Canis lupus familiaris: one gene and its partners. The protein of the gene in region 1 interacts with the protein of each later gene in a biochemical or structural test. Links are inferred from orthologs where the notes say so. Each region holds a gene or a part of one and is shown in the gene's direction. Other genes may lie near its edges.

What was found.
Region 2: the proteins of BCL10 (region 1) and CARD9 form a complex in vitro, tested with the Homo sapiens proteins (2 studies listed by BioGRID). The link is inferred for Canis lupus familiaris from reciprocal best matches to the Homo sapiens genes BCL10 and CARD9.
Region 3: the proteins of BCL10 (region 1) and CARD11 form a complex in vitro, tested with the Homo sapiens proteins (2 studies listed by BioGRID, with this or other methods). The link is inferred for Canis lupus familiaris from reciprocal best matches to the Homo sapiens genes BCL10 and CARD11.
Region 4: the proteins of BCL10 (region 1) and IKBKG form a complex in vitro, tested with the Homo sapiens proteins (3 studies listed by BioGRID). The link is inferred for Canis lupus familiaris from reciprocal best matches to the Homo sapiens genes BCL10 and IKBKG.
Region 5: the proteins of BCL10 (region 1) and CHUK form a complex in vitro, tested with the Homo sapiens proteins (2 studies listed by BioGRID, with this or other methods). The link is inferred for Canis lupus familiaris from reciprocal best matches to the Homo sapiens genes BCL10 and CHUK.
Region 6: the proteins of BCL10 (region 1) and IKBKB form a complex in vitro, tested with the Homo sapiens proteins (2 studies listed by BioGRID, with this or other methods). The link is inferred for Canis lupus familiaris from reciprocal best matches to the Homo sapiens genes BCL10 and IKBKB.

Annotation. Positions count from the first base shown.
Region 1 is NC_049227.1:63,256,285-63,261,340, forward strand, and holds the start of BCL10 (B-cell lymphoma/leukemia 10), read left to right. Parts: upstream 1-1,757; 5' UTR 1,758-2,024; coding exon 2,025-2,081; intron 2,082-5,056. UniProt on the Homo sapiens protein: Plays a key role in both adaptive and innate immune signaling by bridging CARD domain-containing proteins to immune activation.
Region 2 is NC_049230.1:49,108,262-49,113,353, forward strand, and holds the start of CARD9 (caspase recruitment domain-containing protein 9), read left to right. Parts: upstream 1-1,908; 5' UTR 1,909-3,368; intron 3,369-4,603; 5' UTR 4,604-4,604; coding exon 4,605-4,842; intron 4,843-5,063; coding exon 5,064-5,092. UniProt on the Homo sapiens protein: Adapter protein that plays a key role in innate immune response against fungi by forming signaling complexes downstream of C-type lectin receptors.
Region 3 is NC_049227.1:14,345,946-14,350,967, forward strand, and holds the start of CARD11 (caspase recruitment domain-containing protein 11), read left to right. Parts: upstream 1-1,959; 5' UTR 1,960-2,226; intron 2,227-5,022. UniProt on the Homo sapiens protein: Adapter protein that plays a key role in adaptive immune response by transducing the activation of NF-kappa-B downstream of T-cell receptor (TCR) and B-cell receptor (BCR) engagement.
Region 4 is NC_049260.1:123,432,823-123,437,140, forward strand, and holds part of IKBKG (NF-kappa-B essential modulator), read left to right. Parts: coding exon 1-71; intron 72-1,974; coding exon 1,975-2,127; intron 2,128-2,651; coding exon 2,652-2,748; intron 2,749-3,871; coding exon 3,872-4,015; intron 4,016-4,280; coding exon 4,281-4,318. UniProt on the Homo sapiens protein: Regulatory subunit of the IKK core complex which phosphorylates inhibitors of NF-kappa-B thus leading to the dissociation of the inhibitor/NF-kappa-B complex and ultimately the degradation of the inhibitor.
Region 5 is NC_049249.1:13,186,301-13,191,121, reverse strand, and holds the start of CHUK (inhibitor of nuclear factor kappa-B kinase subunit alpha), read left to right. Parts: upstream 1-1,773; 5' UTR 1,774-1,843; coding exon 1,844-1,948; intron 1,949-4,821.
Region 6 is NC_049237.1:24,107,226-24,111,543, reverse strand, and holds part of IKBKB (inhibitor of nuclear factor kappa-B kinase subunit beta), read left to right. Parts: intron 1-2,879; coding exon 2,880-2,987; intron 2,988-4,196; coding exon 4,197-4,318.

The DNA of each region.
Region 1 (5,056 bases):
ATTGTACACTTGAAACTAATATAACACTCTGTGTTAATTATAGTTGAATAAAAATATTTTTTTTTACTGTTAACATCCCATATACCCTTATCCTACTATCCTGTTTTGTATTTTCTCTTAGCATTTGTTATCTTCTAACAGAATAACTTTACATATCATTTTCCAAATGTCTATTTGCTCTGCCCTGAAACACATGTATGCTGGACTTTAAACTCCAGGAAGAAATAAATTTTTACCTATTTTGTTCATAGCTGTTTCCCCAAACCCCAAAACCGTGTCTGGTGCATAGTTGACATTCAATAAATATTTGTAAAATGAAAGAACAAATGGTTAAGTAAATTGGGTTAAACCAAGATGAGGGAAGATTAAGCAATCAGATAAAACTGTACTGTGGATCAATGTAGGAAAAGACACATGATGTAATGTAAATGTTAGAAGCTTATGATGGAGCCCGAAGCTGCTAAGAGACATCTGTGTGGCTTTGGCAACATTGTCCTTTTCTGGTTCTTTTGCTTTCCCTTCCTTTAAATGTTAGAGTTCTCAAGAGGTATCCCACTGGCTGGTTCTGTGGGTAGAGCATGTAACTCTTGATACTGGGTTGTGAGTTCAAGCCTCATGTTGGGTGTAGAGTTTACTTTCAAAAAATGTTGGACTTCCCAAGTTTGTCTTTGTCTATCTACCTCTTGTCCTGTCTACCCTCACTGCTTCAAATACCACGGAGTTTATTCAGCATGTTGTCCAAACCATTGTCTTGGGCCCATTGTCTTGTGTTTTGAACTTCTCATCCACATTATTCATTCTTTTTTTAAAAAAAAATATTTTATTTAGTTATTCATGAGAGACACACAGAGAGAAGCAGAGACAGAAGCAGGCTCCTTGTGGGAAGCCCGATCCTGGACTGGATCCCAGGACCCCAGGATCACCACCTGAGCCAAAGGCAGATGCTCAACCACTGAGCCACCCAGGTGTCCCCATTCTTCATTATTCATGTTGTTCTGTATACACTTCCATTAGTAGTTAGATACCATTCTGGGCGTAGTTGTCTGCTTATCAGTCTCCCCCATAAAAATAGAATTCTTCTAAGATAAGATGACTAGACATATTAGTAAGGACTCAATAAGTGTTTGGGTAGTAAAAGATCATCATAAACGGAGTTCATACTGTATGCCAAGTACCTCTGAGAACCTTACATATATAGTATCATTTAATTCTCACAGCAGCCCATAAGGGATGTAAGGTAGACATCCCTTCATCACACAGATGGAACAAATAAGGAAACAGGATCATAAAAAAGTGACCAAAAAGCATGCTGACGTTAAATCGAGTGCTAAAATGAAAGGATTATAGGCGGTTTTTCTCTTTCAAAAATGTCTTGACAAAAAAAAAAAAGTCTTGACTATTGCAGCGGAGCTGCCCGCGGGCCGCGTCCGAGCAGGCGGGTATCTAACCCCACAGCTTCAGTAGGTTAAGGCAGCGGCCGGAAGCTGCGGGGCGGGGTCTGGGGAAAGGGGAGGAGCCCGGGGGGGACGGTCCGGCAGAGACCCGCCTCCGCCGGCGAGCGGTCCGCAAAGGCGGGGCCTGCGGCGGGAGGAGCCTCGGGCCCCACCCACGGAAACGCTCCCGGCAAAGGACGCGCGGGGGCTGTGGGCGGGGCCGGGGGCGGGGCCAGGCTCGGGCCCCGGGCCGGCAGCGATTGGCTCCCGCTGGGAGGGGGCGGGCCCCACGGCCAGCCCCGCCTCGTCGGGGGGCGGGGCCTGCGCCGGCGCCTCCGGGAGAGGAAGGAGCGCAGCGCGGAGCCCGCTGGGGGACGCCCAGGTCTGCGGCGCCCTCGGCCCCAGAGGCGGAGCCGGAAGCTCTACGGGCTCGTCCGTGAGCCTCTGTTTTGGAAGCGGCAGCCCTCTTCCTCTCGACCCGCTCCGCCTGCCCTTGTCGCCGCTTCACCCGGAGGCCCGAGTCCCCTGCCTGGCCGGGCGGTGCCGCCGCAGCTCCCGGACCCGGAAGAGGCGCTACCCCGCTCCTCCGCCATGGAGCCCGCTGCGCCGTCCCTCACCGAGGAGGACCTGACCGAAGTGAAGAAGGACGTGAGTAGCCAGCCTTGCCCGGGCGCCGCCGAGGGCCGGGGGTCGCGGGTGGGCAGGGGCAGGCCCGGCCGGGCGGGCGGGCGAGGAGAGCGGAAACGCGGAGTGGGAGTCCGAGCCGGAGAGGAGCAGGAGCCTGCGGGTCCGAGGGGCTCCAGGTCCGGGCGCTGCTGCACGACGGCGCCCGAGGGACCTCGGTGGAAGCGACCCCTCGTGACCTGTTAATCCACGTTTAGGTCGCTGGGTTCTGAAACCCTGTCCAGTGGAGCGTTTCACCGCACTCAGCTTCTTGCCGACTCTCCACTCCTCCCCGGGGATCTCTACCCCCCACCCCTGCGCTTTGGGGCCGCGTCGTCGGGAGTCGACTGCCCAGGTTCCGCCTTGAGTCACACTCCCTAGGCTGCTGGCCCAACCTGGAGCGACAGCTGGACCCGAGAAAGGCTCCAAGCAGTGGAGCAAATATGTGAAACTCTCTTATAAAGGGGGGTTGGGGGAAGCTCAACAGCTGAAAGCACAACCTGGAATTCCCCTAGTAAGCAAACGCCCACATATTTAAATTGGGGGGTGGGTGTAGCCGAAAATTAATTTACAGGTAAATGCTGAAAATATTCAGTACCTAAATTATGCCCTTTTGCTTGGATGCTGCAGAACTGCACAAATCTTAGTACTTATTTGTTGAGGTATCTCGTTTCTTTTGCTTTTAATTACTTGTTTTGCCACGTGAGACCTGTAGGAGTACCCCCAAAATACTTCGTGTAATTTCGAATTAAAACCAGAAACCCAACAGAAAATGAGTTCTGCAGCACTTAATACAGAATTATATTTGTGAACTGGACAAGACAGCAGCTTTTTTAGATGTTCATCTACCTTAGATGCTTACCCCCTTTTCTCCCTTGAAAGGTTTATTACACTGCACTCATAATTACATAATGACAATTGGAATGACTCATTAACAGAAGGAAACTGGATATGACAGGGATTTGTGCCTTAGTTTGCTCATTCAGCGATACAGATGGAGCGCTTAGTATATGGAAGGCACTGTCCTTGGGCCTGGAAAGATACAAAAAAAAAAAAGATAATCTGGCCTCTGCTTTATATTCTAGTCGAGATAAAACCGGGACATTGATAACTACCACAGAATAAATGAGTGTTGTCTTATATAAGATTGGTGCCAGTGGAACCATGCACTTCAAGAGCTAAGCCTGTGGTGTTCCAAAATCTTTGTCACATAATTTGCAATGTTCCCATTTAATCTTTACAGCAGTGCTGTGAGAGGTTACAGTTGGGCATAAATATAAAACCTGTACACAAACACAGTTGTGAAGAGTGTCTTCCAGGTCTCTTTTTTATTTATTTATTTATTTATTTTTTCTCTTTTTTTTTATATATTTTTTCATTTATTCATGAGAGACACAGAGAGAGAGAGGCAGGCAGAGACACAGGCAGAGGGAGAAGCAGGCTCCATGCAGGGAGCCCGATGTGGGACTGGATCCCAGGTCTCCAGGACCACGCCCTGTGCAAAGGCAGGCACTAAACCATTGAGTCATCCAGGGATCCCCAGTCTTCAGGTCTTTATTCACTTTTTTTCCCTGTCAGTTCATTGATACTATCCATCTCCATGATTTCAATTTACAGCTATCTCAGCAATTCATAATCTTGGGGAATCATGAAGGGGTCTCAGGAGGTCTATGAAAAAAATGTATGTGCACATTTTTTTTCTTAGAGATTTTTTTCATGCTATTTTCAAAATGGTTGATGACCTCAGTCTTAAAATTATCATACAAATATTTGCACTTCCTTCTTTGTCAACTCTAGATGCTTGTTTCCAAATATCTACTGGAAATTTACTTTTATGTTCTGTACACTCCTCATCTTGTCAGAAATTGAACTTTTTATCATCCCTTCCCCAAAGCTGCTTGCTATATTCTCTGTCTTGATGGATAGTATGCCACCACCCCAGCCTTCTGGAAAGTCCCACTCTTTCATTATGCTCCTCCCTTCCCCCTGCCCCCATCAACTTGTTTACCTCATCTTTTGGATTACATGCTGCTGTGAGGTATGCATGGTTCTAACAATTCGAAAATTAGAAATTAAGACGCAATCCCAGTTTGAAAAGAGCTTAATTTCCTGGAAGGAGGGAAACAGACATAAATTAATAATTGCAAATTACAGAATAAGTGCAATGAATTTTGCATTCATCTAGAACACTATCTACTTGACACTCTGCTAAGTGCAGGATATACAGAGTTGAACAAAACAAATGTGGTTTTTGCCTGCTTCAAACATATAGGTCATTAAGGTTGAAGACAAATATATGCTTACAAATTATGCTAAGTACTATGAAGGAGACAAACAGGTATTGAGACAGTAGCAGGGGGAATCAACTTGACATAGGACGGTCAGGGAAGGTTACATTTAAAGTGGTTGCTGAAGAATATAGCAGAACTGGGGCAATAATCCTCTAGGCAGAGTAAGGTTTGTAAAGGAACTAAAACAGGCAAGACCTTGGTGACTTGGGGAAATTGGAAACAGGCAGAGGGTGCTCTGAGAAGTTAGGAAGGTTGGCCTAGAGCCAGATCATGGAGGATTTTACAGATGGTAATAAAGTATTAGGATTTTTCTCAAGTGTAGTAGGGGTCTGCTGAAGAACTATGTTAATATTTTTAATCCCTTTGCCTATTGTATGGACGGAAGGGAGCAAAAGTGAGAAGAGGGAAACTATATTAATTCATGGAATTAATATAGTTAAGAGCTGATGGTGATTTGGATCAGGGGGAAAGCAGTAGAAATGGATGGAACAGGAGGATTCCAGATGCATTTTTGAAATAGAAATGTTAAGATTTGGTGATGGATTGAATTGAGAAAGAGAGTAGAGTCAGACTGGTGAGTGAAAATGTCAGATCAGCAATTAGACCTACAAATCTGAAGATCACAAAGGAGATCCAAGCTGTGGGATTGAGTGAGTTCACCTAGAAAGT
Region 2 (5,092 bases), on another chromosome or scaffold:
AGGCTGCTCTGGAGTGTCCTCAAGGGCAATGGAGCCCCTACGTTGGGGTAGGGGGAAGCAAGAGCCCACGTGTGGCCCCTGCATGTGCTGGGGCCTCTGGTCCTCTGCGAGCCACACTGTCTGCAAGGATAAGGTCTGGGGAGCAGCCTGACCCTGCACTGTGCTGTCAGCATGTAGCTTACCCCCTGGCGTGACTGCTCGCTGCCACTGCTCTCCCTATCTGTCCTAGTGGGGACTCACTCCTGTGCCCTCTTCCTGGCTTTTGTTTCAGGGAGCCCCAGACCCTGGGCAGAGCCTGGACGGTTGTGACAGCCTTGATGTGCGCAGAACCCGGCATGCCTGGCATGCCCGGAAGCGGCAACGGCTGGTGTGAGCAGCAGGGTAAGCAGGGGCAGGGGTGGGTGCAGGTACCCCTATACCATGGGCCTTCCCCGTGCCTCTGTTCTGGGCACACAGGAGCCCACAGCTTTCCAGATGTGGGGCAGACTATCATCGCCCTTAGGAGCTCACATCAAGTGTGATGGGGAGGGTTATACAGGCCTATGGGAGCCGTTTGTGGGGAGGGCCATGTAATCCCTCTCCCCTAGCTACACCCTCGCCCACTGGGTTGCACACTCCAGGCTCTGGTGCTTCCTTCTTGCTGACCCACGTGTGCCTCGGGGCCTTTGCACTGCTGTCCCCTCTGCCTGGCCTTCGTCCATGTCTGTAAGGCTTGTTCCCTTATCCCAATCATGTCTGCTCAGTGTTTGGCTGTTCAGAGATGCTCTCTCTGCCTGTTCTCTTGGGGCAGTACCACTGTCAATGTCTGTCTTGCTAGCACTGTCTCTTCTACACCCGACATGGTTTACATGCGTGTCTGCCATAAACGTGAGCCCTTAAGGGCGGTGATATGATTTGGTTTTTGCTGCCGGGTCCTCAGTGCCCAGAGAGCAGGCATCAAGTAGGCCCTCAGTACGGATTAGTTGAGTTCATGGTGCAGAGATCCCATGTGGGGGAAGATGTCTGGTCTACAGAGGTGGGAGCCAGCTCCTGCGAGTGTAGTGGGGCTGCGCCCTGAGAGGGTCCACAGAGGGGATGCTGGGGGTGGGGGTGGGGGCATCAGAAGCCCACCCAGGCTCTAGGGCCTGCCCTCAGCATGGCCCCCTGCATGGACTGCAGGTGGGCAGCCAGACCCGGTTCTGCGCCCTCGGAGGAGGCCTAATGCCACCTTTGGTTCCTATCCTACAGCACCATCTCTGGGGTCTGGCTGGGGTCAGGGTGTCCCCACCATCTGGGCATCTCTGTGTTCCAGGAGGCGGGAGCCATGCTGGACCCCAGTGAGCCCACCTGCCTGTGGAGCCCAGCTCCAACCCTCCCGGAGGAAGCAGCCTAAAGCAGTTGGAGGCTGGGGGAGGCTTCGCCGTGTGACCGTGAAGCCACTGGGGCTTGGCTAGTCCTCCAGCACAAATCGGAAGGAATGTTTGAAGGAATAAAGTGAATGGCTTATTTTTTTATTAAAAGGCAAGCCCCAGATTCTTGTTGCCTTAAGAGACTGGGCAGAGGGTTGGGGCTCCCCTGACCGTGCCAGGACCCGGATGGCTGGGCCCTGAGGTCTGAGGAACCCCCTGAGCTCCGGGCCACCGTGTAGGACGTGGGGAGTGCCCTTTGCACAGAACACGCTTGTGGCTCAAGCCCCAGGGCCTGCCAAGAGCTACCAGGCAGCTGCTGCCTTGGTGGGGCCACAGGGAATGGGGTGGACCTGCCTCACTGCCTTCCTGACCACACCGCCGACCCAGGCAGGCATCTGGAACCAGCGGCTGCCCGCCTGCCCACAAGTCACGCAGCGGCCCCAGGCCGGCATTGCCTTCCTCCTGAGCAGCTGCTTCTTGGTGGGAGGCCAAGCCCCAGCACCCTTGGTGCTCTGAGGGACGCGGTGCACAGCCTTGGCTTTGGTGTGCAGCCTTTTGAGGTGCTTGGTTCTAGAGGCTTCATGCCTGTGCTCTCCAGGTGTGAGCATGCCCTGGGGTGCTGTACCCACCCACCAGGGGGCTGACCCACCACCGTGCAGCCTCATGCACAAGCTCTTAGCTTTTCAGTTTGCACCTGGGGCTTTTTCAGCTCGTTTCTGCTTTCCTTGGGGGCTCCTTTAGACCTATGGCTAGTTAGAGGTCTCTTATTTTATTTTCAAACGTTTAGGGATTCTCCAGTTAGCCTTTTGTTATTGATTTCTGGCTTTTGATACAGAGAACAGAACATTTCTGTCATTGAATTCTTACCAACACCCCCGTGGGGGAGACACCCTTTATTAATTTGCTTTTGCAGAGCAGGGAAACACTGCTGGTCATAGCTCCTGGAGGGCCCAGGACTGGCTGTTCTGGAAGCGCGATGGCAGCCTCCATCCACCCAGGGTCAGAGGTCCGAGAGCCTACAGGCGGGGAGCCTGTCAGGCAAGAGGCAGCTGCCATGGGAAGGTGGGGCTGGGAGCCCTGCTCAGGACCATCCTGGCCTTTCCCTAGCAATTGCCTCAGCCTGGCAGCCAACAACTTGGACCAACCGGCCCAGCTGCGCCAGTGAGGCCTTGGCCTGGGGGTTTCCTGGCAGACCCTGGTCTGGAGGCCTGCTATCCTGGCTATTGGGTGCAGCTCTGATGGCAGAAACAGCCCTTCTGAAACTGGTTTGCGGGGCCATGATGAGTGGCCTGGGAGCCTGCTGTCACAGTCCCGAGTGTCCTAGTAAAGAGGTTGCTAAGTGGAGACACTCCCAGGAAGGGATAGGGTGTGCAGTGTAGCAGGGGCCGGTGGCCATGTGGGGCAAGCACGGACAGGCCACAGTGGGGTCTCCAGCCACATGCCTTCTGGACGCTACACCAGCCCTCATGTGATCAAGGCCCGGCTGGCCTACTGTGTGTGTGGGCATCTGGCTGAAATCCCAGAGTTAGGCCTGAAGCCCTGGGATCTCCTGCACTTTGCAGAGGGCCCACGCTGCAGGTTCCCAGCCAGCCCCTGGTGGAGAAGCCTCCAGAAGCCTGCGTTCAGGCCAGAGCGGACTAGACAGTGCATTGGCCTCATCCAGCTCCGGGGAGGGTCCTTGCTCACACTTCCACTTAGTGGATGCCAGGGGTGGGCCTCCAGGCCTCTGAGCAGGACTTCCACTTCCCTCTGCCCCGCCTCTTGGGCCCTGCCAGGCGGGCGAATCAGAAGGCAGGCCCAAGGACCCACTCCCTCTGGGAGGACCTTCCCGGCTCTGTGGAGCTGAGCAGCACCATCAGGAAGTGCACAGCTTTTCCTCCTGAGCTCCACTGGGCTGCCAGCAGCACCTCCTGTTCATCGGATCAGGCCAGCCTGGGCTGACCAGTGTCCACTGCACAGGTGCCTCTCGAGGACCCTGAGGTAGGCTGGTTGGCTGCCCTCTCAGGGTGGCCAGGAAGACACCCATCTCTCTGCTCAGGGCTCCTGGGGCACATACCCCAGAAGAGCACCCAGGGCCTCCACTCCTGCCCTGTCCTTCACAGCCACCTGAGACCTGCTTGTTCAGCTCGGTGGAATTAGAGGCAGGGGTCAGGTGTGGGACCTGTGGATGTAGGTGGGAAAGGCAGGAAGCGGGCTGAACGTTCCAAGGGCCATCCACTGAGTTGCTGGTGTCTCTCTGGCTGGATGGTGTGGCCAAGGGCTGCAGGAAGTTCAGGAAGCTCCTCCAGAGGCCCTGCCTGCTGCCGTCTGTCTCTGGGAGTATGGCCTAGCTCCTCTGGGTGGCAAACCTCCGCCCACAGTTCCTACGCTGGCTGAGGGCAGTCTGAGGTGGCAAGTCAGGGTCTCTGTCCCCACCACTGGGAGGAGGCTCCTGGTTTGGCCCAGGCCTCGAGCGTGGTCTGTGCCCGCCAGTGGAAGGGAGCAGCAGTGGGTAGTCCCAACACGGATGGCCCTGGTCAGGGAGCTGGCACCCTGCGTGCCCAGGAACAGGGAGAGGAGCCCAGAGGTGGCTGGTGCCTGGTCCCTAGGAGTCTGCAGAGGGCACAGGAGCGGCGTGGGTGCTGGCCATGCCAATGCAGCTGGGCCCCTCCTGGTGCAGCGGTCCACAGCTGCCCTTCCTGAGCCAGCCGGTGCCTGGGCCACTGTTGCACCACCAGCCAGCCGCCGGAAAGAGAGGAGGCGGTGGGGCTAGGCCCTGAGCAGGAGCCATGTCCAAGAAGGAGGAAGTCCTACAGCAGCACAGGCTGGCGTGTACGTGGGCAGGTCAATGCCCCAGGCGTGCCTCCCCAGCCTGGGCGCCTACCTCCCTGTACCTGCCAGGGAGGCCCTGCCAGTGGGTACGAGGTGGTGGTCTGCCAGACTCACGCTTTAGGGATGGGGGTGCAGAGGCCAGAACAAGGCCACAGTGGGGGGGGGGGTATTCTCAGATGCCGCCAGTCCCTGAAGCGCCTCCACATCTTCCCTCACACTTATCAGGGTGACTTGGACAGAGAAAGCCTAGGTCACCTGCTGAGGGAGTGGCTGCAGGGTCTAGAGAAGGCCGGGAGGGCTGCCCTGGCTGAGCTGGTGCCCCGGTCAGAGCACCAGCGCAGAGGAGGGAGGGCCAGGGCGGGTGAGGCTTCACACCTACCTGTCCTGGACTCCCCTGGGCCCAGCATGCAACTGTCCCTGCCAGCTGCTCTCCCACCAATCGCAGCGGTGGCCGCCACCATGTCAGACTATGAGAACGAAGACCAGTGCTGGAGTACCCTGGAGAGCTTCCGAGTGAAGCTCATCTCCGTCATCGACCCCTCGCGCATCACGCCCTACCTGAGGCAATGCAAGGTGCTGAACCCCGATGATGAGGAGCAGGTGCTCAGTGACCCCAACCTGGTCATCCGCAAGCGGAAAGTGGGTCAGTGCTGCCTCAGCCGGGAGCTTTGAGCACAGGAATGGGCGCTCCCCAGCACCCCACACCCTGTCCTGTCTGCTGGGAGCCGTGGTGCTTCCATGCACAGCAGACACCCCTGGGAGGGCAAGGGTGCGTGGGCAGCAGGTAGATCTTGACCTGGGCTGGGCCTATAGGAGCTCAGTGCACAAGCCCAGCCAGCCCCAGCCTGGCCCTGTGGGTTTCAGGAGTGCTCCTGGACATCCTGCAGCGGACC
Region 3 (5,022 bases), about 49 Mb from region 1:
CCCAGTGGGAGCCGTGCTCCTCTTGTCCCCAGCGGTGACTAGTTCACTAAGCACCCTGTGTTCTCGGCCTCCCCAGCCTTGTTTCCCCTTGCCCTGCCATGTTTTCTGGGATCACCTCCCAAATAAACCACTTGCACAAAGATCCTGGTCTCAGCATTGGCTTCCAGGGAAGCCCAAGCCAAGATGTGAAATTATCCTGAGGTTGAGATCCTAGGTCAGAGGGCTCAGCACAGCGCTGGTGCATAGGAAGCCTTGTTGACTACCAGGTGCAATCCTAACCCTCGAATGGGTGGGATTTGCAGGGAGGTGAGCCTTGGAGACAGTTGGGAGAGGTCCAGGTGGAAGGGCGCTGGCGGGGGGGGGGGGGGGGGGGGGGGGGGGGGGGGTTGGGGGCGTGTCAAGGCAGGAGGAAAGAGCGCCCTCTGGGGGTGAGAGGAAGAGGTGCCTGAAGAGTGGATGAAGGGTTGACCAACTTCACCCACCCAGGAGCACAGAGATCTTTACCCTTCTAAACTCCTCACTCCTAAGGGGATGGGCTTAATTTCTCAGAGTCTGTGTTCACGGTCCCTCAGCTCTGTGCAGTTCCGTTTTCCTGGTCCCTGACCCACAGTTCAGGTAGCACAGGTGGGCTCCTTCACCTGGAGCTACAATACTCTTTTCCCCTTTTACTGTTATTCCTGTTATTTATGATCACCTCAAGCATAAAGCTTTATTGTAATCAGAGCAGCATCTTATATCTCTAGACCACCTTTCATCTGACACTTGTCTGACACTCACCAAAGACACTGGAAACTTTAAAGAAGCCACACAAAGCTCTCCTTGGCTCCACCCTCCTCTTAAAGGCAAGTGTCAGGGGCAGGAAAGGAAACAGATCAGATCACATATTTACTCACCAGCCTCCCTGGCTTCTCACAACAAACCACTAAGGGAGGAATTATAAGCCCCAATTTGCAGATATAGAAAAGAGCTTCCTGGAACAAATTTACTGGTTTCTCAGCTCAAGATCATGTGACCCAGACCACACATTCCCAAAAGGCTTCCCACGCGGGCTTGCGACATCTCCAGATGAAGCATACGGACTACGTTAGAAGGAAGACACATTTCCTCCTACTGCTGTAAATCGACCCACGCCGCCTTCCTGCATAATGAATCAACGTCTTTTTAACATAAGCCCTCTAATCGACGTGGGAAAAGCACGATTGTATCACACTGTGTTTAGTTAAAAGAGTTCATTTCTCTCAGGAAAATATTTTAAAATACACAATTTTGTGGCAGTTTTCAGCATGTTGTCACACTCAAGTGTGGGAACCTTACAATGGAGCTCTAAAAATATTGTATTATATATTCGAACATTGCTAAAAGAGTAAATCTTAAAAGCCCTCATCACGAGAAAAAATTTCTGTTAACTGTGTGGTGGTGATGGATGTTAACCAAACCGAACTAACTGTGGTGAGCATTTCGCAGTATGTGAGTACACCAAATCATTATGCTGTACACCTAAAACTAAGAAAATGTTACATGTCAATTATATCTCAACACTGGAGGGGAAAAAAGAAGCGAGATTCTCTAAAAGTAAACATCCCTGTATCATGAGATAATAAAACAAAACGAAGTAACAACTTTTGGGAGGAAGATTTTATTTATTCATTCATGAGAGACACAGAAAGAGGCGGAGACAGAGGCAGAGGGAGGAGCAGGCTCCCTGCTGGGAACGTGATGTGGAACTTGATCCCAGGACCCCAGGATCACGCCCTGAGCCAAAGGCAGCTGCTCAACCACTGAGCCACCCAGGCGTCCCAAGTAACAACTTTCTTAGCTCCAGACTGCAGGGGAACAGACTGTGGGGTTGGGTTTGGCCTGCAGGCTGGAGTTTGCTAACCCTTACTGTGGTCGATTACATTACCAAGAAAAAAAAAAAGGGAAGTGGCCCTGGCCACTCCTGATTCCCAAGAGACCCTCTCTCAGGCCTCTCCCTCATGCCTTTTATTCTGTCTTGGGTTGAGGACCCCAGAAGCAGACCCCCCCAAAAAGATTTGAGGGCAAGCGGTTTACATAGAAGTGGTCCTAGAACATCCCGGTCAGAGAGCAAGGAAGTTGGACAGAGAATGAAGGCAACGAGTAACGGTTTTCCCATGATCCAGTTACCATGGTAAGCAGCTGGAAACCAGCTGGGGACCCCTGGGAGACAGGTGGAGCACACCTCAGATTACCTACCCTGCTATACAGGTGAGTGACTTGGGGTGGGTGATCACCCTCCAGCTGTACCTGCTATTAGCTGAGAGCTGCTCGTGTGAGCCACAGAAAGCCTCTAGGTGGGGAGTCCCGGGTGGCTGCAGATGGCAATGGTGCAGACTTTGTAGCCAGAAGTGTGAGCACCAGGGGACATGAGCGGGGGCCCTGATGGCCTCTCCTGTTAACAGCTTCTTCTGGAGCATGCACCTCCTTATTCAAAACAGCTCTCCTCTTCCTCAAAATGGCTAATCTCAGTTAGTGAGCTCACATTAGGAAACTGTACTCTATTTCCCCCCTCTCTGTGTAAAAAAACAAAATGATTCAGTTTAAATATACATTTTTTAATACATTTTGACAAGGCCAAGAATGCAAGCCCCAAGAGGGCAGGAATGAAACCAACCAGTTGTTTCTACCCCGTTTATTCACAGAATCTCACTCTGTCCAAAGGCTCAATAACAAAGCCACAGAAACAAAACTTTCCATTCTGAGGTGGGCAGTGAAAGAAGGAGGAGGCCGAGGTGGCGGCAGCTGGTCAAGCCTCTACCACTGTTCCTTTTAACAGAAGAGAAACTGAAAGAGCTGCAGCCACAGCCCAGGGTCACATGATGAGTAACAGTAGCATGTGTCATTCTCACATACCCTCGCTCCACTCAGGGGTATGTGGATTCAACACTGCAGCCCCCATGGCACTATCATCCTCCACCCTCTGGCCCTGAACAGCAGTGTTGAGACAGAGCAGGGAGTGCCACTCAGTGGGTCCCCAGACCCTCTGGTCGAATCTGCAGGCATGTGTGAGGGTCTTCTGTGCACAGAATGGAGACGAGGCAGCAATTGGTGCTGTGGCCCAGGCCCATAGTGATCTGGCATGTGCATCAGAGTCTGATTTGTGTCAAAGAAGGGTTCGGGGACTGCCAGAAAAATAGTGTAGGCCTCAGTGCACCAAGGGTGGGACAGTGAGGGTCATTTGCTTGGGTGCAAGCAGTAGAAAACACATTGTCAAAAAAAAAAAAAAGAAAGAAAGAAAAGAAAACACATTGTCTATAGAGAATTTTAAATTAATAATAAGACCAGCTAATTGTGCCAGCAATTCTACATAATGCCAATGATAAATTATTACTTCTTAAAAAATATCTTTGATTGGTCTAAGTGCAAAACAATTGCTGTGGTTACTGCTGGGTTTTAATAATATATATGTGAGCCTCAGATTAGCACATTTTTATTACTTGAAATTTAATAAATATTGTATTCTACGGGGAAGTTAGTTCAGTTCCACAGTCCACCCCAAACACGCACCAACTCATCTACACAGCATGTTCAGTTCAAGAGTATGTTGCCATGGGAACAAGACAAGGATGCTTGTTTCAGCACTTCCACTGGAGCACCTGGCCAAGGCAATTAGGCAAGAAAAAGAAAGAAAAGGCATCCATATTAGGAAAAAAAATGTAAAACAATCTATATTTGCAGATGACATGATCCTAAGGAATCTACTAAAATCCACTTTTAAAACTAATAAACAGGGATCCCTGGGAGGCACAGCGGTTTGGCGCCTGCCTTTGGCCCAGGGCGCGATCCTGGAGACCCGGGATCGAGTCCCACATCGGGCTCCCGGTGCATGGAGCCTGCTTCTCCCTCTGCCTGTGTCTCTGCGCCTCTCTCTCTCTCTGTGACTATCATAAAAAAAAAAAAAAAAAAAAAAAAACTAAAAACTAATAAACAATTTTGGCAGGATTGAGAGACATAAGATCATTATAGAAAAATTGATCATAATTCTACTAGCAATAAACAATATGAAAACAAAATTAAGAAAATTATTCACAATCTTAAGGAAAAAATTAAGAAAATTATTCATTTATAATAGCATCAAAAGCAGTAAAATACTTAGGGATAGATTCAACAGGTGTGTCTTGGTGGCTCAGTTAGTAAAGCAGCCAACTCTTGGTTTCAGTTCAGGTCATGATTTCAGGGTCCTGGGATACAGCCCCAAGTCAGTCTCCACACTCAGCAAGGGGTCTGTTTGGGGATTCTCATTCCCTCTCTTTCTGCCCCTCCCCTTGGCATGCACCCACTCTCTTTCTAAAATAAATAAATAAATCTTTGAAAAAAAGAATAAATTTAACAGAAGAAATGAAGACTTATACACTAAAAACTAAAAATATCATTGAAAGAAATTAAAGATCTAAATAAATGGGAAAACATCCATGTTCATCCTCCTCAAATTGATCTATGGATTTAACACAATCTTATCAAAATTTACTCTGGCTGTTTGGCAAAAATTGACAAGCTGTCTCTAAAATTGATATGGAAATTTAAGGGGCCCAGCATAGCAAAGACAATCTCGAAAATGAAAAACAAAGTTGAGGAACTCACACCTCCTGATTTCAAAGCTCACTACAAAGCTACTGTAATCAAGATATTCTGGTACCAGCTTAAGGATGGACATATACATAATGGAATAAAATTGAGACTCCAAAAATAAACCCTTACTTATAGACAACTGATTCTCAACAAAGGGGCCAGGACCATTCAGTGAGGAAAGAACGTCTTTTCAACGAGGGTGCTGGGATCTGCAAAAGAATGCATTTAGACCCCTACCTCACTCCATACACAAATAGCATATCAAAGTGGATCACAGACCTAAATGTAAGGACTAAAATTACGACCCTCTTAGAAGAGAACATGGAAGTAAATATCTGTGACCTTGGGTTATCACTGATTTCTTAGCTATTTCACCAGTTCAGAAAGTGGCAAAAGAAAAGATCAAGTGGACCACATCAAAATTAAAAATTTTCC
Region 4 (4,318 bases), on another chromosome or scaffold:
CTGGGGGAGCTCCAGGAGAGCCAGAGTCGTTTGGAGGCCGCCACCAAGGAGCGGCAGGCTTTGGAGGGCAGGTGAGTGGGACGGGAACGCCCCCCGGGGCTGCCGTTGGGGTGCCCGAGAAGAGAGAGGCAGCTGAGGGGCGTCTGGCGGCCTCGTCCGCGAGGGCTCAGCTGTAATGATCCCGGGAAAGGGTTTCCCGCATCCCACGGGAGAGCAGGCGCTGCACAAACTCTCCTGTCGTGCGAGCAGTCCGGGCACAGGGACCATCCTTTGCAGTATGGGGGTCACGTTGGCGTAGGGGACTCGCCGCAGCCCGCAGCCCGCCGCCCAGGTGCCCCCCGAGGGCCAACTTCGCAAGTGGCCCGCTGAAGCCAGCGGCCGGCCAGTTGCTCTTTTCTGCGCGGCGGGGTTCCCGTAAGCGGCTCCCCGGGTCTGAGGCACCAGTGCTTCCTCGGCTCTCACGGCCCCGGGTGCTGCCCTCCAGAGAGAAAGGTGGACCCCCGTGGTGGCGGCAGGGCTGCCTTCCCCCCAGGGGAGGGGGCAGGATGGTGTTGGCCGTCGTCCACGCTGGGGGGACCTTGTGGACGTGCTTCCATCTAGAAATCGGAGTGTGAGCAAAGGTGTCACAAGGTTGTGCTTGCTCGCCTTGGGCTTGTCGCGTTGCTGTTTGCCCCTGTGTCCCCCCACCCCGCCCCGGCCTCCAGGTGTCTACAATCCCATGTGTTGTTTTTAGGACAATTTGGTGTCCTTTCTGCCTGTTTTCTGTGTACGTGAAAGAAACCGCTGGGGTGGGGCGTCCGGGTGGCTCAGTGGTCGAGTGTCTGCCCTTTGGCCCAGGGCGTGATCCCGGGGTCCTGGGATCGAGTCCCACATTGGGCTCCCCACAGGGAGCCTGCTTCTCCCTTTGCCTGTGTCTCTGCCTTTTCTATGTGTTGCTCACGAGTAAATAAGTAAAATCTTAAAAAAAAAAAAACCGCTGGGGGCAATTTTGGTCCATTAGCGACCATGCACAGACGTCAGCAAGTGTGGGCTCCCAGGCAGTGTCCTTCTGTGTCCTATCCCCTGTGGCTGGCCATATAGATGGTAAGCTGGACAGCTCGGCCTCACAGCCCTGCTGGTGTCTCAGGTCCTTCCGTGTGGCCCTTTGAAGAGCTTCACGCCTCTGACACACGGAGGTCCCCCGAGCCTGGGGTCTGTCCTGCGGGAATGGCACTCACCCTTGCGCCGCGCCCCGGGCAGGCAGCGGGCCCACCTGGTGATGACCACGTCAGCTCACAGATGGAAACGTGCTCAGTCTGTTTGGACAGGTGTGGAGAAACAGCGAGACCAGCGATGATCCCCAGCAGGCCCCACCCCCTCCCGCCCTAGCAGCCCCTGTCGCCTCTGCGGTGGGGTGGGGACCGTGCAGGGCCTGGGGCCAGCAGGATGACATGGTTAGAGATCTGGGGAGCTGTGAGAAGATAGGAGACTGGAGATGGGAGATTGGGGGCTAGGGGGTGCTAGGGCTTAGAGCATGGAGGGCCTGGTGAGAAGAGACGAGCTGTGGCACCATTGCTGTCACCCAGCCAGGCTGGGGAGGCTCCTCTTGCAGGCGGATGCATTTGGGACTGCAGCTGAGCCATGGAGGTGGGTCAGCCGCCTTCTTGCCGCTTCTAGAACAGTGACTGGGAGGGAAAGAGTCGCCCCCAAGCTGGCTCTCTGTGGTTGTCCCATCTCTGGTAACCGTGTGTCCCCCCTGCCCCCCTGACATCCGAGAGCCACGTCCTTTCTCACGGCAGATCGGCTGTGCGTTGGCAGGATGTTCTGAGCAACTCCTGCCCCCGTGACGGCGCTCTGCCTGCAGGCCGCAGAGCTTCCAGGGCCGTCGGGCTTCGAGCTCCTCCTCAGTGCCGCGGGGATCCTGTGAACGCCCCGACACCCTGCCCCCCACTCCTGCCGAGGCCCTCCCGTGACCTCCCCCTTCCCCCGTGCCAGGGCCCGGGCTGCCAGCGAGCAGGCCCGGCAGCTGGAGAGCGAGCGGGAGGCGCTGCAGCAGCAGCACAGCGTGCAGGTGGACCAGCTGCGCATGCAGAGCCAGAGCGTGGAGGCGGCCCTGCGCATGGAGCGCCAGGCTGCCTCGGAGGAGAAGTGAGTGGCTTCCTGCCCCCGGGGGGACAGAGACCAGAGGGCCATCGGGGGCTTTCTGCCTGTCAGCGAGCCCGTCTGCGGGCCGTCCCTTACCGTCATCACACCTACACGATCCATCTCTGATGCGATGGTATGTGCTCTTCAGTCCACGTCCGGACGCCCCCTTTGGGCCCACGTGGCAACAGCGTCTGGTCCCAGTCCCTGCATTGCATCCGTTGGTGTGCCTTGGAGTCTCCATTAATCTAGAACACTTCTCCCACATCTCTGTGTTTTTCACAGAGTTCACTTTTTTGAAGAGCCCAGGACTGTTCCACTTTATTATAGACGGTTCTTATTTTTAAAAACGTTAGCCTTAAACAAAGGGATACTAAGCATTTAGTAAAGCCTGTCTTAGGGCTGCTGGCCTTGAAGGCACAAACGCACCCTGCAAGCAAGCCCCTTTCTGGTCTGTGGACATGAGGAGGAGGACCGTGGAGCGGGGTCAGGACAAGGTGGTTTCTCCAGCAAAGGCTCCTCTTCCTTAGGCGGAAGCTGGCCCAGCTACAGGTGGCCTATCACCAGCTCTTCCAGGAGTATGACAACCACATCAAGAGCAGCATGGTGAGCAGCGAGCGAAACCGAGTGAGTATGGTGGGGCTGTCGCGGGGACTGTAGGACTGACTTTGCTTCGCTTCCTCTCCCTGCCGCCTAGAAACAGCAGAGCTCGGGACCTGCTGCCACTGATTTAGGGCCATGGGAGCTCAAGTTCTTATTTGAACACTTGCCAGAATTTGATTTTGGGGGGGATGTTTGACTTGTCGTAGACCTTTGTCAAGGTCGCAGTGTGACAGCTCAGCGCGGGTGGTGGGAGACTGGGATCCTAGGGCTGTGCTGTGTGTGGCCTACGGTCCCCTGGGCCGGGCCTCTGGCGGCGCTCTGTGTGGCCTGGGAACATGCTTGTCTCCGTGGCCAGTCCTTCCCACCAGCTTGGCTCCTGGCTCAGAGATCCCAGAGCCAAGGTGAGGCGTGGGACACTTCATCACACTACTGGGAGTGGTGCTGGGAGCCCTTTTCTGGTTGGTTTTCATCAGACCTGTACTGGGTGCAATGTCAAGTGATCGCGTTTTAAGAAGGATGCTGTCAAACCCGAATGTACCCAGGGGACATCTCTAAGGCTTGTAAGGGTAACACCTGACACCGACCACACCAGGAAGAGTTAGTTACACAACTGTGGCCTTTCGATCTGCAGGAGGAAGGCTTGCTGGCATGTGTGGCTGTGTCTGTGTGTGCATGCATCTGCGTGTGTGCATGGGGGGCTGAGGGCATCTGGGAGGGAGCAGCAGACCTTTGTAGGATGGCAGGGTGGCAGGACCCACAGGTCTCAGCTTCGTGGCGGCATGTGGTGGACTGTTAGCACGGGAGAGCAGCTGAGCGTGGAGGGGATGGCCTCAGGAGGGAGGATGGCCCTGTCCGCTGAAAGGTTAGAGGTGGGCTGTCCGGCTGGGGATTCTGGGAAGGGAGTGTTGGCCTGGGTGGGAAGTTGTGCCACATGATGTCAAAGGTTCCCTGTAGCCTCTGCCTTTCCTGTGCCGTGCACGCCCTGTCGTCTTGTGCTCTCCACCACTCCAGGGTTGGCCAGCCAGGGCCCATCTTTCATTGATTCCTTTTGGTTCTTCTCACCTGGAGCAGCAGCCGGCCTGGTGGCAGCCTGGTGCCTGCCACGGGCCAGTTTGGGCTCCTGCAGTTCCCCCTTGCCCGTTCCTAGGGAATGCAGCTGGAGGATCTCAAGCAGCAGCTCCAGCAGGCCGAGGAGGCCCTGGTGGCCAAACAGGAAGTGATCGACAAGCTGAAGGAAGAGGCCGAGCAGCACAAGATCGTGATGGAGACCGTCCCGGTGCTAAAGGCTCAGGTGAGGGCACTTCTCTGTGGCCCGTGTGCGGGTCAGCCGACTGGGCCTGCTGGGCCCTGGGCCCTGGTATGTATGTCCCTGGTGTCATTTTGCGGTGGCTTCACGGAAGCCCTTTGAGCCCCTTGCTCTTCCTTGATCTGTCTGCGCTTGGCGGTGACTCTCTGTGCCCCGGCTCTGGGAGGGTGGGAGCCGGCTGTCCCCGATCCCCCAGCAGGCAGTGAATGGCCCACAGCTGGCGGGCGTGCCCCTCTCTTGGCTTTGCCAGGCGGATATATACAAGGCCGACTTCCAGGCCGAGAGGCA
Region 5 (4,821 bases), on another chromosome or scaffold:
AGGGAAAGATCACAGAATGCTATATCTTGGAAGCCAAGAGAAAAATAATTGTTCCTTTATATTGGGCATTTATGGCCCAAACAGTTTCACTTAATCCTTACAGAACCTCTGAGGTAAGCATTATTGCTTCCATTTTATATGTGAAAAAACAGACTCTCAAACTTGAAGATTGTGAAACCTAAGGTTGACTGTTCCAGGATTTAAAAACAAGCTATGCAGCATCCCTGAGAATGGGGATGTGAAGAGTCAACTATGGCAAACAACCTGGTTCCTGCAACTATGACCACTTCAGGGTCAGCGCACTCATCAGTATCCCTCCCTAGCTCTTCCAAGTGAGCGTTACAAGAATATGGCTCCAACTGTGGAGATCAAACATACTCTAGTGCTAGCTATGCAGTACACCTAGCAGACAAAGGGCTTTATATGTTAGGGGCAATTGGTACCACAATCATCTGTGCAGTCTGCCCAACTCTAGCAGATGTTTGGGAAGTACCATTTGCCATCACCTCCAAGTCTGATACTCCAGCTCCATAGCAACCAAGCACATGTAGGAATCCATCATCTGCTACCACACATTACTGAGGCCTAACACGGCTTGTACATGCCATGCTCAACATTTTGGTTGTACCATTCAGGGATTCTGAATCAATAGATGCATGTTCTCTGCCAGAAGCCAATTCAATGCTTTCAAAGCAGCCAGCAACACTGCTGTGATGCACATGCTGTATTCATCTTTAGGCTTCTCAACATGTTAATCTGTGGGTCACAAAGTGTTGGTTGGAATTTAAGTACTGAGATCACAGGTGGGACTGTGCAAACGATGGCCCAAGTGCACATGATGTCAAGGGGTGTTCAAATGACTACTTTATGGAAGCAGTAACTGATATATTTCTTCAGAGAACTGGATGCCATAGTAATTTTTATACCCAGTTCTGGATATACTGACTGGATCCCCAAGTTCTGTGAGGCTGAGGCATATGACCAACTTAAAGTGAAAATGGGAGGTTGGTTCTTCCATGCTAAGGCTATCTGCCAATGGCAAATGCTTCTAGTTGCACCAACAGCATTCCTGAAGCTTGCCTCTGCAGCGCTGCATCACGAATCAGACACAGTTCCCTCAGTGAGGAACCACTGCACTGGCAAACCCATTAATGGAAGACCGACCACTGGACTGCAACCTCCATGAGGCACTTCGGGGAAAATTCCCCAAATCAGGAGGAACATTCTTTACTCCACAACAGTGTCACATCCTTGAGTCCTTTGTGATTACAGGCGAGATCCTGGTACAGGTGTACAGGAAGTCAAGCAAAAGATCTGAGCCTGATTTTATGGAAGATGATTAATCATTAAAAAAAAAACTATAAAGTGTAATGCATCGGTAGACGTGTTAGCGCAGGATTCTTTATAGTTTTTCGGATTCCGCAATATTTGAATCACTGGTGGCTTCTGCCAGTGCCACTTCAGCGAGCGGCGGAGTTGGAGGATAGATGGTAGAGGTCTGAAGAAAAGGTGAAATGCAGACAGGGTGGAGACGATGTGGAGTTTAGAACATGGCTTGAATGGAGAGCTTATAGTTTGGAAGCCTGGGAAATCCTATGTGGGTTCTCTCAGCCAGGAGAATGCCCAGGAGACTTAGCGGACTGGAAGCGAGCTGCCCTCATCCCGACCCTTTCTCTGGCCAGGTTCCTGTGTGCCCCCGGGAGCAGCTAGGGAAGGGCTTTTCCTGTGGCGGTTACCGGAAGTGACGCACACATCTCGCGAGAAGAAAGACGCGCGAGTCTCGGCGGCCCGGAACCGGCCTGGGAAGAGTGGCTGAACTTCAGGCCGCCAGCCCTCCCGCCCCATGGAGCGGCCCCCGGGGCTGCGGCCGGGCGCGGGCGGGCCTTGGGAGATGCGGGAGCGGCTGGGCACTGGCGGCTTTGGGAACGTCTGTCTGTACCAGCATCGGGTGAGGTGGGGCGAGAGAGGGAGCGGCGGTGGGTGTTTGTCAGAGCGTTTGTGGAACACAGCGACTGTCAGTACGTGAGACATTGTCGGTGAGACTTTGGGCAGCACCGTGGGCCGGTGAGCCTGTGTGAGTGAGTGTGTATTACTGTGCTTGTCGGTCTGGTGACTGAGTCCGAAGCTGTATCTGAGGTCCTGGGTCAGTGTGTGAAATAGAGCTCTTGTGGGGGAACTTTTGGTACGAACGTCAAGAAGTGACAAACTGTTTACCGAGTGTGACACTGCGATTGTGTCTCCGAGTGTAGAGGGTGTCGGGATGTGGGAGGCAGAGCCACATTAGAGTGTGTATTGTGAGCATGAATGGGTGAGAAAACGGGACTGAAGAAGGGGGTTGTCTGTTGGAATGTGTGTTCAAGTGTGTGCTTGGAGGCTGTGTGATATTTGTAGGGGCTGGAAGAGACAAGGAAGGTTTCGGAAGCATCCAGTAGGCTTCAGATCTTGGAATGCGTTCTGAGTAGGGAACAGTGTGAGGATCAGCTTGGTGAAATGATCATGGCTTCCTAAGGGAAGGAAGTAGATTGGGCGTGAGGTGGAAGACAGCTAACATCGGAGTCAGGAATTTTGCTTCAATTTAATTGAAAATGTTTAAGCATTTAGCAGCAGTTAATAATCATGTTTGAGCCATGCATCTTTCAGTATACCAATAAAAGCTATGAAACCTTTCCCCAGCAAAATGCACAGTTGCACATCCCCACCACCTTAGGTGCTGCCATTTGAGGGGGCTCATGCTCTCCTGAAGGATGTTCACAAACCTTTTAGAGGTATTAACCCTTGACTGATAATCTTTGCAGTGTTGCCTTTGTTTTTGTCATCTGTATTTTGTGTAAGATAGTTATATACATCATAGGTCTGTTTGAAAGTTAAAGAAGTTAATATGGGTAAAGCTAAGTACAATACCTGGCCTAAGTTAAGCCCTCAAGTGTTAGTTCCTGCTGCTGTTGTGTTGTTGCTATTGTCATCTTCTTTACCATTATTTTGTTTTCTTCTTTACCATTATTAATTAAACTTAAAAAAGGATACGTCAAGATAAAAGTGGCGCCCTTGGAGGACTGTTTTGTAAAAGATAAATCTGAGTGAAAAACACGGGACAAGATGAACAATTACAATATTATTCAAATGCATGCAATTGGCTTGTAAAGGGAATAAATGAATTCAAGATTTGCTTGAATCTTAAGGAATAGGGGTATGGGTAGAGAGCCCATAATATAGGATGGGAGGTAGGGGCATGGGAGTATACCTGGGAAAAATAGGTATGTTTGTGTGGCAGTCACAATGACAAATGTCAGTGATGGAGCTGAAGAAATGTTGTGAAGCAGCTTTCTAGATAGAGCATGGGAGGACATCTTGAAGAGAGGGAGAATGGGAGGTGAAGGACTAAAGCATTAAGTACTCTGACAGCTAAACAAGTAGTAAATTTAATAATTCTCACCATCAGAGAGTACATAAGGCACTTAAAGAGAAAAGAAGGAGCCAAGTACTTCCAGTGAAATGTTGCCTTTGGTGTTGTTATCTAAGCCTGTTCATTAGCCTGGTCATAAAAAAATATATGCTTGGTAGCTTGCTTTGTGACTGCTTTTCTTGGTCACTGGTTGGAAATAGATCAACACATCATTTTTTAAAAAAATTGTGATAAGGTATATATAATGTGAAATTTACAATCTTAACCATTTTTAAGTGTACAGTTCAGTGGCATTAAGTACATTGACATTGGTATGCAACCATTACTACCATCTATTTCTAGAACTTTTTCACTTTACCAGTCTGAAACTGTATTCATTAAACAATAACTCCCCATTTCCTCCTCCCCCTGCCCCCTGGCAACCACCTTTCTACTTTCTGTCTCCATGGAATTAATTACTTATTAAATGGAAGAGATTTGGGTTCCTCTAGAATCCTAGAAATCTCTCAGGAACTTTCCAGGTATCTAGACTGGTTCTTTCCTCAAATTGGAACATTTGACAACGGGGCTTGTAGTGGAAAGAGAAGAAATACTCTAAGACTTGGAAATAGCTTCATTACTTTTCCAAGCCTGACTTTGGATTTGCCCTTAACAGTTTTCAAGATCTTTGTGTTTTGGTGGAAGCCACGTCCCCAGTATTTTATCTATATCTCTTAAATCACAATGAGGAAGAGAAAAGGATGTGAGATGGTTTATTTATCAGATTATTATGCTGGGATGGGTGCTGATGGTATCCCAGTCAACAAAAATCGTATTTTCTGCCCTCAAGGAGATTTCAAGTCTAGTGGGAGAGGTAGACACAAAAACACTTTAAGTACAGCGTGGTAACCTATATAACAGATATATTTATAAATTTTTTTTTAATTTTTATTTATTTATGATAGTCTCACAGAGAGAGAGAGAGAGAGAGAGAGAGAGGCAGAGACACAGGCAGAGGGAGAAGCAGGCTCCATGCACCGGGAGCCCGATGTGGGATTCGATCCCGGGTCTCCAGGATCGCGCCCTGGGCCAAAGGCAGGCGCGAAACCGCTGCTATGATAGAGTGGCAAAAATAACCAAAGAATTCTTCCTAGGGAATAATGTAGCACTTCTCAAAGTGTGTTTGGGAAAATTAGTCCTGTGAAATGCTTTGAAAAAAGGATACTGTAGTCAAATACATTGGGTAAATTCTGTATGTAATATTGTTTCACTTGGAGAGTGATATTAGCATATTAAAAGTGATATTAGCATATTAAAAGCTCTGAGAAGTTCTTTAGTAAAGAAACTAATTTAACTTTGTATTTTCCAGTTTTTTTATTTTGGTAAAATAGATAGTATTTACCATTTTTAAGTGTACGGTTCTGTGGTTATTTTTTTTT
Region 6 (4,318 bases), on another chromosome or scaffold:
AAATTTTGTTTTTATTTCCAGTTTTTGTTTTGTATTGTTTTGTTTTAGAGCAGTAATAAGTTCATATGGTTCAAGCTTCCAAAAGTGATAAAAGAGTATGCACTGAAAAGTCCCCTCTGGGCAGCCTCCCCACCACCTGGCTTCCTTCCCCATAGGTACCTGCTACTACTGGTTTTTGGTGTGCTTCCAAGGGTGTTTCATATGGGTACAAGAAAATTGGTCTGTACTTGTCTGTTGGTTCGTTTGTGTTTCACCTCTTTTTTACATCAATGATTAACATAATATGAACTGTCCTGCATGTGCTCACAAAACATTTTTACACCATGAGAATTTCTTTCACACAATCCAGAAAGAACCACTATGAACATTTTTGTGTGTCTCCAGGCTCTTCAGTATATGTTATACTTTTTACAAAAACACAAATTATTATACTCTCCTGTAACCTGCTTCTCAGTCTTGCTATTGAAAATCCTTTATGTTTTTCCATTATTTGTCATATCTGGTATGCAACTGAATGGCTATACTGAAATTTATTTAATTTATGCCCCGTTATTGGAAGCATAGGTGGTTTAGAATTTTTACTTCTTAAAATAACACCAAGAATAATGTTCTTATAGGGAAATCTTTATGGATCCATAATTATTTCCCTAGGACAATTCCTAGAAGTGGAATTAACTGATCAAAAATTATGTGCATCGTAAAGGTTTTTGATGTGTATTAAAATGCTCAACAGAAAGGTTGTATGAATAATGTTTTGACCAGGAACATACAAAGCTGCCTCTTTTACCATACCATTGCCAGCACTGGCTATTATATTTTTCTAAATATCTTTTTGGAAGTAATGAAAACAGTAACTTTTTCAAAGGACAGGTACTTAACTTACATCATTAATTATTTACTTATAAGATTTAGCCTTGGAAATCAACTCTAGAAGAGTGGTTTTTGTGATGGCAGTCCAGTTCAGTCAACATGTATAATGCAAAGAGAAATAAGGCCAGGTGACTGCTTTTCTGGAGTCTGGCAAAATGGCAAAGTATGCCCTCCTGTGGTGGTTTATTTTAAAACAAGCAGTACTTGAGCTGCGTAAGTTCTAGAATATTAAGGAATTGGCTCATTAATTTATAGTCACACCTTATTCTATAACCATCATAAAAATAACTTAAATATCTGTACATCAATATTTTTAACTAATCAAAGAATTGCTGCTTTTCTTCAGTTCAAATGTTGAGCTTTTTCATTATTTTTAACAAGATGAGTTAAAATCCATTCAAACTGGAAGAACAAGTGCTATTTGAAAATATATCCCTAATGTCCCAGCATCTGTATGGTAAGTCTGTTGTCTGCAGAATCAGCTTTTTAGAACTCCACTCCAGTGCTGGAAGGCCAGGTGACACTTCAGGCAGACTTGGACACCCAGTCAGGAGCTGTTTAGTGGACTAGTTTGTGAGAATTATCTGTCTCATTTGTCTTGTAATGCCTTAGACAACTTTTTAAAAATTTCACTCTCTCGTCTCAGATGGCAAGTGGATAGTAATTTCAGGACAGAGGCAGTTTGAGCTTCATAATTCTGTTGTAATGCTACTTTGAAATACTTTTCAGGACCTAACCAATAAACATTTATTTACTATGTCCTTTTATGTTTATAATTTTCCATTGATGGACTAATGACAAGCTTGCCCCTGCCTTACAGTAATCATAGTACCAGCCAGAGCTGTAAGCCGGTGGCCACTGCCATGTGCCAGTGCCTGTAGGCTTCCCACATGCTCCAGACAGGCCAGCTGACCCCTTGCCTATGAGAAGTGTTCAGGACTAAAGTATTTTTTTATTTGAATTTCCCAGGTGTTTTTGGGAAGGAAAGACTTGTACATTCAGACAGAGTAGAAAGAATGGTAGACTTTGGGTTTGAGTCCAGATCTGCCATTCTGTAGTTATAAGACCTTGGGCAAGTCAACCGATCTTCATGTCCTTACCACTGAATGGGGGACTAAAAACAGGGCCTACCACATGGGATTATTGTGGCAAAGAAGCCTGTGTTCGGTGTTGAAGTACTTGGTTATCTATGAAGCATAATTCAAATTTAAGGCATTTTCCTCATCACTGAAAAGCTTTGAAACTAGTTGCGTTTAACATTTTTTCCCCTTCAAATACTATTTCCGGTGCATCGGTGCATCAGTAAGTTCTCTAAATTGGGAAATGTGAATTCATTCACCACTAGAGTTAACATTTAGTCACCTACATTTAGAGGGAAGTGTGTTGCGTGTGCATGTGTTGCGCGTATATCCTATAAACGTGATACGTGTGCAGTGATCCTGGTTTGGAAGTTCTAATTGTATCCTCTGTCAAAACATGAATTTTGGGATCCCTGGGTGGCGCAGCGGTTTGGCGCCTGCCTTTGGCCCAGGGTGTGATCCTGGAGACCCGGGATCGAATCCCATGTCGGGCTCCCGGTGCATGGAGCCTGCTTCTCTCTCTGCCTGTGTCTCTGCCTCTCTCTCTCTCTCTCTCTCTCTCTGTGTGACTATCATGAATAAATAAATAAAATCTTTAAAAAAAAAAAAACATGAATTTTGTATTAGATAAAATGAAAAGTGGAGAAAATTATAAAGACAAGCTAAGGATGAGATTAGAAGTTGGCAGTACTGGCTGTGGTACTCTGGGCACAGGAGGGTTGATGCCTCCACTCCTTCAGGCGGTACAGACTGTTTTTCAGCTCTCAAAGAAATCATCCCAGCCAGATGCAGATGCATTGACTGCTACCCAAAGATAAAATTGCAACCCGGGGGTATCCTGTACAGTTGTAAAGTGATATGTTACAGATGTAAAGTACCTCTTGCCCAAGTGACTTGGGGGCTATAATCAAGGAGATGACATGTTTGCAGGCATTCCAAAGTCCGGCAGAAGAGTGAGATGGACATTGTCGTCAGTGAGGACTTGAATGGAGCGGTGAAGTTTTCAAGCTCCTTACCCTATCCCAATAATCTGAACAGGTAAGGCACAGTGGCACATATCCTCTACGTAGTTTTCTTCCTTTTTTAGAAATAGGTGTCTGCAGTAACATCGGAAAGCTTTTCAAGAGGTTATCAGGATAGCATCCTGTGACTTAAGGACTTGAGATGATCATCTCAGTCATAAACTTAGAATGGATTCCCACTCTTCACCCCATCTAGAAATGATCTCTTTTCTAAATTCACATAACAATTTATCTGTACCTCTTACCACCTTTAGTAGCTTCTAGTTTGTATTACATTTGGTTTTGCATAGGGTTTGTCTTCTAGTCAACCGTAAGCCTTTTCAGATTGTGTTTTTCTTCTCTTTGCACTCCTGTGTAGCCTCATACTGTGTCATAGTCAACAAATCTTTGTAGTTTGCACAGCATTGCAAACTAGTCTTAGAGCCAGAATGTGAACACTTAGATAGTAATATCAACATTGTATAGTAGTACAAAAGAAAGTGGCAAGGCAGTCACACACAGCCGAGTGGTGCAGATAATAATTACCATGAGTATTTAGAGGATGGGGAGAGCGGTAGCGTGTGGACTAGAACTGGAACGACTTTGGATGAGCTGGAACTTTCTGGAAAGATGTGCAGGACATGGATAGATGAAGAGGAAGGAAGGCTGAGGGGGAAGGAGTGAGGGGAGCAAAGGCATGTTCCAGGGGCAGTGCAAAGAGAGTTGGCCTTCGTGGGGGCTGAGAGTGCCTACATGAGGCAGACCTGTGCCCGGGAAGGAGTGTGAACTTTGTTGTGGGAACCATGAGTGGGTTTTGCGCTGCAGGGGTTCAGGAGGGAGGACATGGGATGGGTGTGGATTAAAATAAACCTGGCAGAATGGGGTCTAGCTTGGGGCAGGGGGCTCACCTGGAGGTAGGACACACCTGCGGCATATGAAGAGCTTCACATTTCACTCTCCTGCAGCCAGGTGATCATTGGTCTGTTGACCTATCTGTTGAGAAATCTGGGATTTCAGGGGGTATTTTAGCAGATCAGGTAAAAGGATAAGCACTCAAATCATTAGTCTGGCTGGAAATGTTCGCTTTCTCTCAGGGGGAAATTCATTTTCAATAATCATACTGGTTGCCACGGGTGTATGTGTAGCGGTGAGTGTGTGTGAGGTGCGTACCTTCCAGTTTTGTGTGGGAGGCCGCCTGAGGGCAGTGCAGTGGTCTCCTCCCACACCGTGCCCTCGTTCTTCTCAGCATCCTGGCACAGCGACTGGAGAAGTGGCTGCAGCTCATGTTGATGTGGCACCCACGGCAAAGGGGCACCGACCCTGTGTACGGGCCCAATGGTTGCTTCAAGGCCCTGGATGACATCTTAA